2 linked regions of the Saccharomyces cerevisiae S288C genome follow. The gene in region 2 interacts genetically with the main gene of each other region. Each region holds a gene or a part of one and is shown on either strand. Other genes may lie near its edges.

The links. Genes that interact genetically often act in the same process or in processes that back each other up.
Region 1: mutations in ATG20 (region 2) and MHP1 together harm fitness more than expected from each alone (negative genetic interaction), as found in Saccharomyces cerevisiae (2 studies listed by BioGRID).

What each region holds. Positions count from the first base shown.
Region 1 is NC_001142.9:359,363-365,990, reverse strand, and holds MHP1 (Mhp1p), read right to left. Parts: upstream 4,743-6,628; coding exon 546-4,742; downstream 1-545. Other genes in the region: FG-nucleoporin NSP1, read right to left, coding at 1-88, 207-207; YJL043W (uncharacterized protein), read right to left, coding at 5,088-5,861; GTPase-activating protein GYP6, read left to right, coding at 6,315-6,628. UniProt on the Saccharomyces cerevisiae protein: Essential for the formation and/or stabilization of microtubules. Binds to microtubules in vitro.
Region 2 is NC_001136.10:256,086-260,412, reverse strand, and holds ATG20 (Atg20p), read left to right. Parts: upstream 1-1,857; coding exon 1,858-3,780; downstream 3,781-4,327. Other genes in the region: TRM3 (tRNA (guanosine(18)-2'-O)-methyltransferase), read right to left, coding at 1-1,498; YDL114W (short-chain dehydrogenase/reductase), read right to left, coding at 3,883-4,327. UniProt on the Saccharomyces cerevisiae protein: Required for cytoplasm to vacuole transport (Cvt), pexophagy and mitophagy. Also involved in endoplasmic reticulum-specific autophagic process and is essential for the survival of cells subjected to severe ER stress.

The DNA.
Region 1 (6,628 bases), on a different chromosome or scaffold from region 2:
GAGGAATTCTGATTGGTGGTGTTAGAGTTATTGTTGGCAGTCCCGAACGAAAAGGGCGTTTTGTTTTGTTGAGGTGTATTGAAGTTCACTAATATTAAAAATCATGTAGTTTACAGGTTCGCAGGTTTTCGTTAGTAAATAGGAAGAAATTGTATAGGAGATAAAATTTTGATCGGAAGACAACCGTCCAATGGAAAGAAACATACTTTTTCAAAACGATCAGAGCTTATTACTGTTGGACTGTGCGTTGCAATGGCTCTCCAATAGCGTCTTCAGGTATCACAATCGACACGTCAAATATCACATCTGAGTGGTGCTAACACCATTTATTATTTTCTATAAAAGTTTGAAGAAAAAAACTCATCGGACCCGTCCGGGTTGTCTCAAGTTCTACAAAAGCATTATGCTTACATTAATAATAATAAAAAATACAAAATACTTAAAATAATCATACATGAAAGGATACGTAAATGTCTGAGGGCTCCTTATTATATTTTCGAAACCCAATACAAAAAAGAGATTAAAAAATTAAGAGAAATCCCTTATTATTTAGTACTACTGTTCCGCGCATCCTGGATTTTGTCTAGCACATCATCATAAGCAGCGTCAATGGCATTTTCCTCTGCATTGTTCATAAATTTATCAAATCCAGGCGCATCGGTCGGAGGAATATGAGCATTATCGTTCGTTCTAGAAGTATTGGAGCCTGTGGATATCGGATCAGTGGTAGGGGACGCATTAGCACTTGAATCATTGGATTGGGAGGACTGTTGTTCATCCTTTGTTCTGAACGCGGTCTCTTCTTGGTTTCCCTGTTTTTTGAAAATATGATGCAAGTGGTACCCTTGGCTATGCAGTTCATCAATGACGCCAAGGATAGTAGAGACGTCATTCTTCAACAGAAATTCCTTTATCTGGTCACTATCTAAGGATTGTGCGGCACGATTTAAGATTTCTTTGTCCACTGGCAAATCGCCACCACCGACAAGCTTTTCGTGTTCTAGTTCTCTTTTAATGATAGAGTATTTGTTTTTGATATCAACTTCATCTCGAAATTGTTGATCATTTGCTGGTACGTCTTCGTGATTTACGTTGGAGTCGTCACCTTCTCTGAATTCGACGGCATCTTCTGCATCTGGGCTTGACTTTTCGACTATTGCACTACCGAATGGCATAAGCGCAATATGATCTGAATTTTGTAATATAGATGAGCTTAGTAACATTCTTTGACAGCTTTCGGAATTGGGTTGTGCTTGATTTCCCCCTTTCCGACTTTTTGAGACGGCCTCTGGTGATTTCAAAGTGTTGTTATGTCTTTGTTTCAGCAGGTCACAGCCTCTTTCCAAACTTGCCTCTATGAAGCATAATCTAATCAAAGCTTCCTTACCTTCCAAATTTAATTGTCCATTCAGTTTTAAATCAAAAAGATCATGAACCACTTTACTAATCTTGATACGTGCCAACGCGATTTTGGCCATGAAATTCTCAACCATTTTGTTGTAATGTTCGGAATTATCCGCTTTTTCAGTTAATAAAAGTGATAGTTGGTCCTGTAGGCTTGAAAATTGGCTATCTTTGATATCTTTATCGTCACTATTAACCCTTTTCAACTCCCCTTGAATATTTCTTAAAGCATATAATGAAATTTTTTCCTTAATGTTCTCTGGCATATACACATAGTCCACGTCCAAAGTCATCAAAGATGAACTTTTCCTCACCGCCTCTGCTAGAGCTTTAGACGATGCCAAATCCAATTCCGTTCCTAACATGGAAAAATAATTCAATCTTGAACACATGGGTAATATTTCGGCCAGCATCACTACACTCGTGGAACTTAAATTATTGTAGTCGATATGCAGACGGACAAGATTAACAAAAACAGGTAAAAAATCAATCAGCGTCGGAACACAGTGGGGGAAGATGGCAGGATTGTTCGATATATCCAAGAATTTTAAATTTTCCAAATAACATAAAACGCTTATCAGTTTTAAGACCTCGTTATTCTCAAAAGTGTCGTGTTCGTTCACTCTCAAATTTGTCCCATTTAGAGATAAAAATTTGAAGACGTTTTTCTCGTTAGCTTTTTGTATTTTGCCTAAAACAGCATCGGTGAAAGAGGAAAGTTTGCCATTCAAATCGTTAAAACCAACGTCTAGACCTGTCACTTTTGATTGAACCATCCACTTGGCCAAATCATCACATTGGCTCTTAGATAATCCATTATACGCGAGGCCCAATCTCTCGGTTGCTATACAAGCAACGAGGATGAAGTTTTTGAATTGTGCAGAATTCATCTTGGCCCCGGAAATGACAATTTCCTCCAAACCGCCCATGAGGGCAATAGAAGCTGTCAAAAGGTCCCAGTTCATGTCGGATCTATTTTCCAAGTTGCATTGCATTCTCAGAATTTTTGACTTCAAAGAAGATTTAGAAGGCTTTTGTACATTTGTCTTGATGGAAGGGACCATTGTCAAATCAATAGAGTGCAGAGACTTGGCCTTGGAGACAAAATAACACAGAACTTTCCATCCTTCTTCATCCAAGGGGGTGTTTCTTAGAGAAAGTTTTTGGAAATGCTGTTTGTAAACCAGCGAACTCAAAATTATTCTAAGCATTTGCACGGTTAATTGTACACCGTCCAACGAAAGACATAAAACGGGAGCAATGCTCAAGAAATCGCTGAACGACCAAATTTCCACCATAGAAGGTCTTGGGTTACGTAACTGTAAGATGGGGATAGGGTCCGTCGAGCCCTTTTTCAATTGCTTCAATGTGGCTGGTATGGGCAGAATTTCTCGCAAGTGACAACAACGGGTATACACAATGTCGTGAGGTATCTTCAAAGAAGGTGGGGGAAGAATTTCTCCTTCATCATCTGCGTTCGTACCGTTGGTATCACTGGACACCATGGAGGCCAAAGAGGATGTGGAAGCACCCCTTCTTGAAATCATTGGCTTATCGATGGTCAAATGGCTGGCGGTCTTACTGACAGTGACTTCTTCTTCATTGTTGGTCACGATACGTTTCAATTCGTTAGGTGCCTCTTTGGCTCTGGCCTCTGCAGCAGCTTCTGCAGCGGCCATAACGATGTTTCTCCTTTGAGAATTGTTATCCTCCTCGTCGTGTGCCTCCACTTCGTTCTGCTTTTGAGGGGCCATCTCCTCTTTACTCTTGGCATTTGCGTCGTCTTCCTCGGGATTTAATAGTTTTAATTGCCCGGTCCCCCCAACGACAACACCCAAACTAGTCGATTCCATGATTTTTTTGCGTTCTTGCGGAGTCAACCTATGAATGACAACAGATCCATTAGGCTTCACTTCCACTTCACCTTTACGAGGGTTTTTACTGCATATTTGTTGTGGAGGATCGTTGAAATAGGTGTTCGTAGCAAAGGAGACGTGTTTCAAGGGCCGTATATTCTCGAGGCCGGGGACGGTGGTTATCTTTGAAGGGTCGAACTCCATTGAACTAGAAGACCATAGGGACGTCGATGAGGTGTCTGGATTATTGACGTTTGCAGAAAGGGAGGAGGCATTGGTGCTGTTGTTGTTGTTGTTCCCATAAGAGGTAACTTTCCTTAAAAAGGCGCCGAATTTATGAGAAGAAGGTGTCTGATTATTATTCTGCGCTGACGAGGAAACGTCCGAATTGGAATCCACTGTGTCTACTATCGATGCGTTGCTTGGATGCTTCTTCCTGAAGGCGGAAGGCAATTTGGGTGCGTCGGGATGCGGCGGAATGGGTCTTCCCTTAGCGTCAAATTTCTGGTGAGCAAGTGATTTGGCAGGTTGTGGTTTGTCGTTATGTAATGAGAACGAAGCGCGTCTATTTTTCTTGGTTGTGGGAGACGCAGATGACTTAATAAAGTTCCCTTCTTTGAAGGCGGCTAATTTGTAATCCTTAGATTTGTAGTAGCGCAAGAAATCCATTAATCTAGGATCAGGTCGAGAGCCGCCATAGTTATGATCGTCTGCGGGGGAAGTTCCGTCGACTTTACCCTCTTCTGGTGAGTGGTATGTGCGCATACGGCCATGGTAGTAGCTTTGCGGATGATTTTCGTAATACACTTCTGATTCCGTCTTGGATCTTGTTAACGGTACCACAGTATCGTTATAAGAGGGTGGAGCATTGTACTGCAAAGGCGGTGGTGATTCCGCAGATATGGTAGCCGTTCTTTCTCTTCTTATGGCCGCGCCACGGTCCACGTGAGTCGGAGAGGGTGAGCGCTCTTTCCTTTCTCGTTCCTTCTCCTGTTGTTCCTGATCCTTCTTCCTATGGCCAAACAGACTCTTAAAGAATCCGACCTTCTTAGGTGCAGGAGCATCTTCCGTGTGATGGTGGTGGCGGTGGTGGTGATGATGTCCGGAGTCAGCCTCAACGTTAGACAGGTTAGTCTCCACCACTGACTTCGACCTACCCCTAGGGGGAGGAATGTTTGTGGGAACGGATGTAGACCCAGCGTTAGCACGCTGATTATCCATTAGCAAGCTCGCAGCTACGGAGTGACGGCGTCCCTTATCGTTTGAAGAAAGAATGCTGCTGGAAGAGTCTACAGACGTTTCGAAAACGGGCGGGCGAGCAGTGTCCATCTGGATGTCAGGAGCCACACTGTTGGCCTTGGACTCGGATTTCCCTGGTCTGGAGCTCTTGCTGGTGGAGGCACTGGGCCTGACCAACCATCCAACGTCGATGCAGGGGATTCGGTGCTCCTTAAGCAACTTTTGCGTGTCCTTGGAGTCCATGGAGCAGTTGTAGGGCTATCTTGTATATTTTGCGTATTTAAGTGCGATTATGCGAGTGCCTGAGTGGTGTATATGTATGTACATATGAACGCTTTAAGGCAGAAGCTTGTTATATAAAGGAGAATGAGAACGCAGCATTTGCTTGTACAGCCAGATGCTTCGAGTGAAACACCGTTGCGTAAATTGAACCTGAACGTTCTAGATGCGAAAACAATACAATAAGCCAATAACGTAAACAGTCGCGCAGCACGAGGAAGGGGGGAGAGCAAGCTGTCCAGGACGGGTGAACATCGAACGGGGCCGACGGCCTAAAAGAGAAGCTGATGAAAAAAAAAAAGGCCCGGGCTACCATTGGAACAACGGGTCCGTAGTAGGTAGCGCACCCAACAGTGCCTCCAACTGCACCACACACTTGCGCTGTCGCCCTTTTGATGCTTCGTCTTCGTCCTCTATCTGCATGTTGTAATCAGACCCGTAGCGCGACCAAATGTCGTAGTCGTCAACATGCGGTGTGGCGTACACCAACTCCGGTGACGACGTCCAAAGTAGCTGCAGCGGCATTTCGCTCGCGTGCCTGATCTCACAATCATGCAGCACAGACCTTAGGTCCCTGGTGCTCATTGCAGTTTCGCCAATAAACAGCATGGGGATGATGATAGTCCGTGACTGTTGCCAGGGAAATCTCCACTTGGGTCGGTTGGTACAGCCTGTGTGTTTTACCGTTGATGGGCCCATGTAGTGGGACCAGTCATCCAAGAGCCTAGCATAGCTTTGACGTAGCGGCGCCGTCGCGGCGCCGCTTTCAAAGCTAGCCGGGTTGGCGATCTCGATGGGTATTATGGTGTTGCATTTCTGCAGGAGGTCGATACAGTCGGTGATCTGGTGTAGGGTCATCGCCATAGCAAACAATTTCTGCGTCAGTCCGGCAGTACGGCCACTAGCAAAGTCTTCGTCAGTAAGTGCCACAATGTCGTGGCACTTTGGTACTAGACTTTTCAGAATCTCCAATTGTTCGCTGATGGCTTCACAGCGCTGAAAACAGCAGTAAGTGTTGACCAACTTACCAAAAGATGCATTTATATCCGTGTAACGCTCCAGTCCGGAATAATCAACAAACATGGCTTGCGGTTTTCCTGAACACTCACCTTTTAGTATTCTTTTTTTCTTTTTTTTCTATTTTTTTTTCGACATAATTATTATTTTTTCTTGAATTATTTACTGACGCAAAGTTCTGACCACAGAAAAATTCCACGTCTTATTTTGCCCATGCCAGCCGTAGAATACGCACACGTGTACGCATGCTCCAAGTGTTATTGTAACTGGATGGTGCGCTGGTTTAGGCCTGTAAGCGGTCGTAAAGGAAAACCGGATATTATGTTACCCGCTTCTCCTACGGCATTACTAGTTCCTTTTTTTTTTTTTTTCAATTTTTCCATTGAGTTTTCCATAATCGGTACAGCAGCGTTTAATTTCATTACCTTTTTCAGAACAATGGGGGAGAGTTGTCAAGAGAATTGGCATACATAGAGAGGGTTAGCTGTCGTGCGTTTGTATTTTTTCGCTTATGCAACCATGAAGGATGTCTTACAATGGGCGATTGACCACTACGAGACAAGAGACCAACTGGTGCAGAAGGGAATTTGGAAAGGTGAACTCTACCATGACTCTATCTTTAAAGAAAATAGTAGAGGCTGGCTCTGGAAAGCTTTGCTTCTGTGTGATGAAAACAACAACTGCTTGTTAACTGATAACTTTAAAGGTTTGGACCTTAACCAGTTCGGCTTGGTGCCAGTGCCTATGCTGGCAGATGGCGACAACTATGACGAAAATCATAATGCAAATGTACCTAAAAGGGTCTTGCACTCGAACGTTTCCTCCTCAGTGGG
Region 2 (4,327 bases):
TCCTGATCAGACTCAAATGGTCAGAGTTGATTGTTTTCTGTTTGTTATTCTGGAAGAAAACTAAGATACCGTAGGACAAGTATATCCTAGAAGGGTCAAAAGAGGTCCCTTTTTCCACCAATAATTTCAAAATTTCAAATAATATATCTGATATGCCTTCTGTTGTTTGGGAAAGTAAGTTATTGACAAATAATGAAAGTTTTTCACCATGGGGACAACTGACACCTTTTACATCAAAATAATGAGCGGACATTGCAGCTGGAAGAAGAGTTTTTGTCAATAATGGCAAGTTTGAAGAGAATGCTGACATATTTGTAATCGAGAACATTAACGTCATCATGTATTTTCTGACACTCTCCATTGATGATTTCAATCCCGTAGAAAGCAAGATAAGGCCCCAACTATGGTGTAAATGCTCGTTATCAAAAATTTTTATTATATCTTGTTTGGCCGCTTGTATTTGATTCAATGATGTGTCCAGAGCAATCATTTCATATAAGGTGGTGAATTTCTTCCAGCTACCCAGCATCTCGATATTTGCTAGATCATTGCATTTATAAAATGTTGTTTGCAATGTTATACCATGAGATGACAGTTTTTGAATTGTTAATTTAAGAATTGAGAGTGCCAATTTTCTGTGTTCGTGCACATCATTATCCAGCTCTGTTTGAATGTGCCTCCAATAAGCATCGGTCTTTATATAAGTAATAAGTTCAGGAGACAACTCTGCTGCTAAAAGGAATCTTAGGAGAAAAGATAAACTGTTCTTTTGCTTCCAAGCTTGTTGGGAGCCTTCAGCGTACAATTGTTTGATAAATGTCCAAATGAGCTTATCAAAGTTACTATCGGTATTGCAGCATTTCGATAAATATTTGATATGCCATCTCATTAACTTGGAGCAGGAATCAGCAATCTCTTCCGAATTACAGCCTAACAATGGAACAATGATAAAATCTAGGCATTTGGACGATATACCATTCTTACATTCGTCAAATAAATATACAACTTCTAAGTAGTGAAGCAGGCTAAGGATATCTAAGTGCAGATTTTCATGCTTGATATTAGCGTTTTGTTCCTCAGCAAAAGAATCGAAAAATGGTTGTACAATCTTTTTTCCAAAGTTGTCATTGAAGAGATGTTTATAGTTTTCGCTAATGATGTCATTTAACCGGTAGCTCATCCACACCTGAAATTTATGCCATACACTGGGTAAACAACATAGTAATTGTGCAGAAGTTCTTAGCGCCTTGTTCATTTCAGCCCTCGAAGAGCGAAACATTTCCCTGGCTTCACCGTCTATACTAGCATACGCAATGACCTGCTCAGTAATTTTTTCAAAGATTGGTGTTTCAATGTTGCTGTCCGTCGTTATATCCAGTGGCGAAGTTTCAATCAACTCCAGCACCTCTTCTAAGCTGTCATTCTGAATCAAGTCTGATATAAGCTTTAGTTGCTCTTCGCGTGGTAAATATTTGCAGATGAGAGCACCTCCAACCATTTTGCTGGTAAAAAAAAGGTATAGAGTTTGTAACGTTCGTTAAACAATTCTTTTCACCGGATTTTAATAAGGCTTGGCTTATTTGCTTACTAGCAATTATATAGTTACAATAGTGCTGTTTCAATCTTGCTCATCGCCATGGTGAAACTTTTCGAAAAACACTTGAATTTTCATTCACGTGATCTACATTCCCTTACCCGACAACTCACCCATTGTGCCCCCTTTAAGATATGGCTATTGAGTAAGCCAATATTTATCGATTTACAGCAAGTCATCTCCAAAATGAAGAGATGACTAGCTCGAATACTGGTGGTGCAATTGAACATACCATCTAGAAAAGTTGTCTTCTACAGCACACAATGTCAGACTTAAATGATGTCCAAGAAAATGCTAAATTGAATTCGGAAACTCGGAATACAGGAAAGGCTGAACCACCTCATGGGACAACTGAGTATGTGGCAGAGGCAGAAATTTCTAAGAATGGAGTTGGATCGCCAAAAAAGAGCCCAAAAAAGGGTAAGGTTGGAAAGGGGGACAATAACAAAGTAGAAACTGAGTTAGTACACACAGCCCTGTTAGAAAAAGACAACCCATTCATGGAGGAGGGGCCAACAGGATTCACAAAATCAGCTTTATTAGAAATACCCGGTATGAGAAGCCATAACCTAAAGAACCCGAATGAAGATTACGAGGATGACTCTGAGGGATTATTGCCTTTAAACCAAGAATCGAATGCAGAAACATGTAGAACAAGTCTTAGTGGAAGTATTAACTCCATGAACGGAGAGACCTCTGCGTCAGAAGAACCTTCTGTAAGTAATAGAAAGAAGTCCGCTAGGATACACATACTTGAAGCGAAAAGAGTTTCCGAAGGTCAAGGAAGAGCCTACATCGCCTATGTTATTCAGTTTGAAAATTCTACCGTTCAGAGACGTTACAGCGATTTCGAGAGTTTGAGAAGTATCTTGATAAGATTGTTTCCTATGACGTTGATACCGCCGATTCCAGAAAAGCAGTCAATAAAGAATTATGGTAAGTCAATAACTGGTTCGAGTTCAAAGTATTTGCTGCCCTCAGAAGGTTCTGGTTCAGTAGATCTATCATTGTCTGTGATACATGCGTCGGTCAATAATAGTGATGAAAAGTTAATACGGCATAGGATAAGAATGCTCACTGAGTTCTTGAACAAACTTTTGACGAACGAAGAAATCACAAAAACATCTATAATTACCGATTTTTTGGATCCTAATAACCATAATTGGCATGAATTTGTTAACAGTTCGTCCACTTTTTCATCTTTACCGAAGAGCATCCTCCAGTGTAATCCACTAGATCCCACTAACACCACTAGAATTCATGCCATGTTACCAATACCGGGCTCCTCGTCACAGTTATTGTTGAATAAGGAGTCCAACGACAAAAAAATGGATAAGGAAAGAAGTAAGTCGTTTACTAATATTGAACAGGATTACAAGCAATATGAGAACTTGTTAGATAACGGGATTTATAAGTATAATAGACGAACCACGAAGACTTATCACGATTTGAAATCGGATTACAATGAAATCGGTGAGGTATTTGCACAGTTTGCCCATGAACAGGCTCAAGTTGGGGAATTGGCCGAACAGCTTTCTTACTTAAGCAATGCCTTTTCGGGGTCCTCGATTTCTTTAGAAAAATTAGTTGGAAGACTATACTACAATATAAATGAGCCTTTAAATGAATCTGTTCATATGGCAACTTCTGCAAGAGAATTGATCAAATACAGAAAATTGAAATACCTGCAAAATGAAATGATTAAAAAGTCTCTGAATTCCAAAAGAGCACAGTTGGAGAAGCTGGAAGCGCAAAACAATGAATATAAGGATGTTGACAAAATAATTGACAACGAAATGTCTAAAAGTCATACTATTAATCTGGAACGCCCTAATAATAATACAGGTAGCGGTGGGAAATCATATGGTGGCAAACTATTCAATGGATTTAACAAATTGGCATCAATGGTAAAAGATTCTGTGAAGTATCAAGAAACAGATCCGCATACCGCAAGTATCAATTTGAAGAAAGAAATTGAACAACTGTCTGAATCATTGGAAGTTACTGAGAATGATTTGGAGGTCATTTCAAAAGTCATCAAAAATGACCAGCTACCTAAATTTTCTAAAGAAAGGGAAGTAGATTTATCAGAAATTTTAAAGCATTATTCCAGATATATGAGAAATTATGCCCGTCAAAATTTAGAAATTTGGAAAGAAGTCAAAAGACATCAAGATTTTGCATAGTATTATGAGCATTTTTTTTTAGCGTTATAGCATACTTGATATATATATATATAAACAACGTGAAGATCAAATAACGTCAAATGTATTAAATAGACTAAAATATTATGCACTTCTCTTCGGATTTATTGCTCGCGGGCTGGTTGACGTTACATGGTCCATTCCACTGAAATGTTTTAAGAGATGCCTATATGGCCAACTCAAAGTTTTGAAAAAGGGAACTAGGTTCACATAATATGGGGCATTTAGTGTTTGCAGATGATTATGCTCCATCGCAGAGATTATCGCTAGTGCCAGTTGGGAAGGTATGATGTCAGGAGCCAATAACTTAGATGGTGTAGGGACATCAATAAACATATTAGTTTTGATTTTTCCCGGGCACACCAGTAGTGTTTTTATTCCAGTTTTATTACATTCCGTGGACAAACTTCTGAAATGCCTGCTCATACACTTGTGAAAACCAATCATTGCTCCTTTTGATGCACCATACGATGTCAGCCTTGCAGGAGTCAGTTCTCCGAGGACTGAAGCAATGTTAATTATAAAGCCT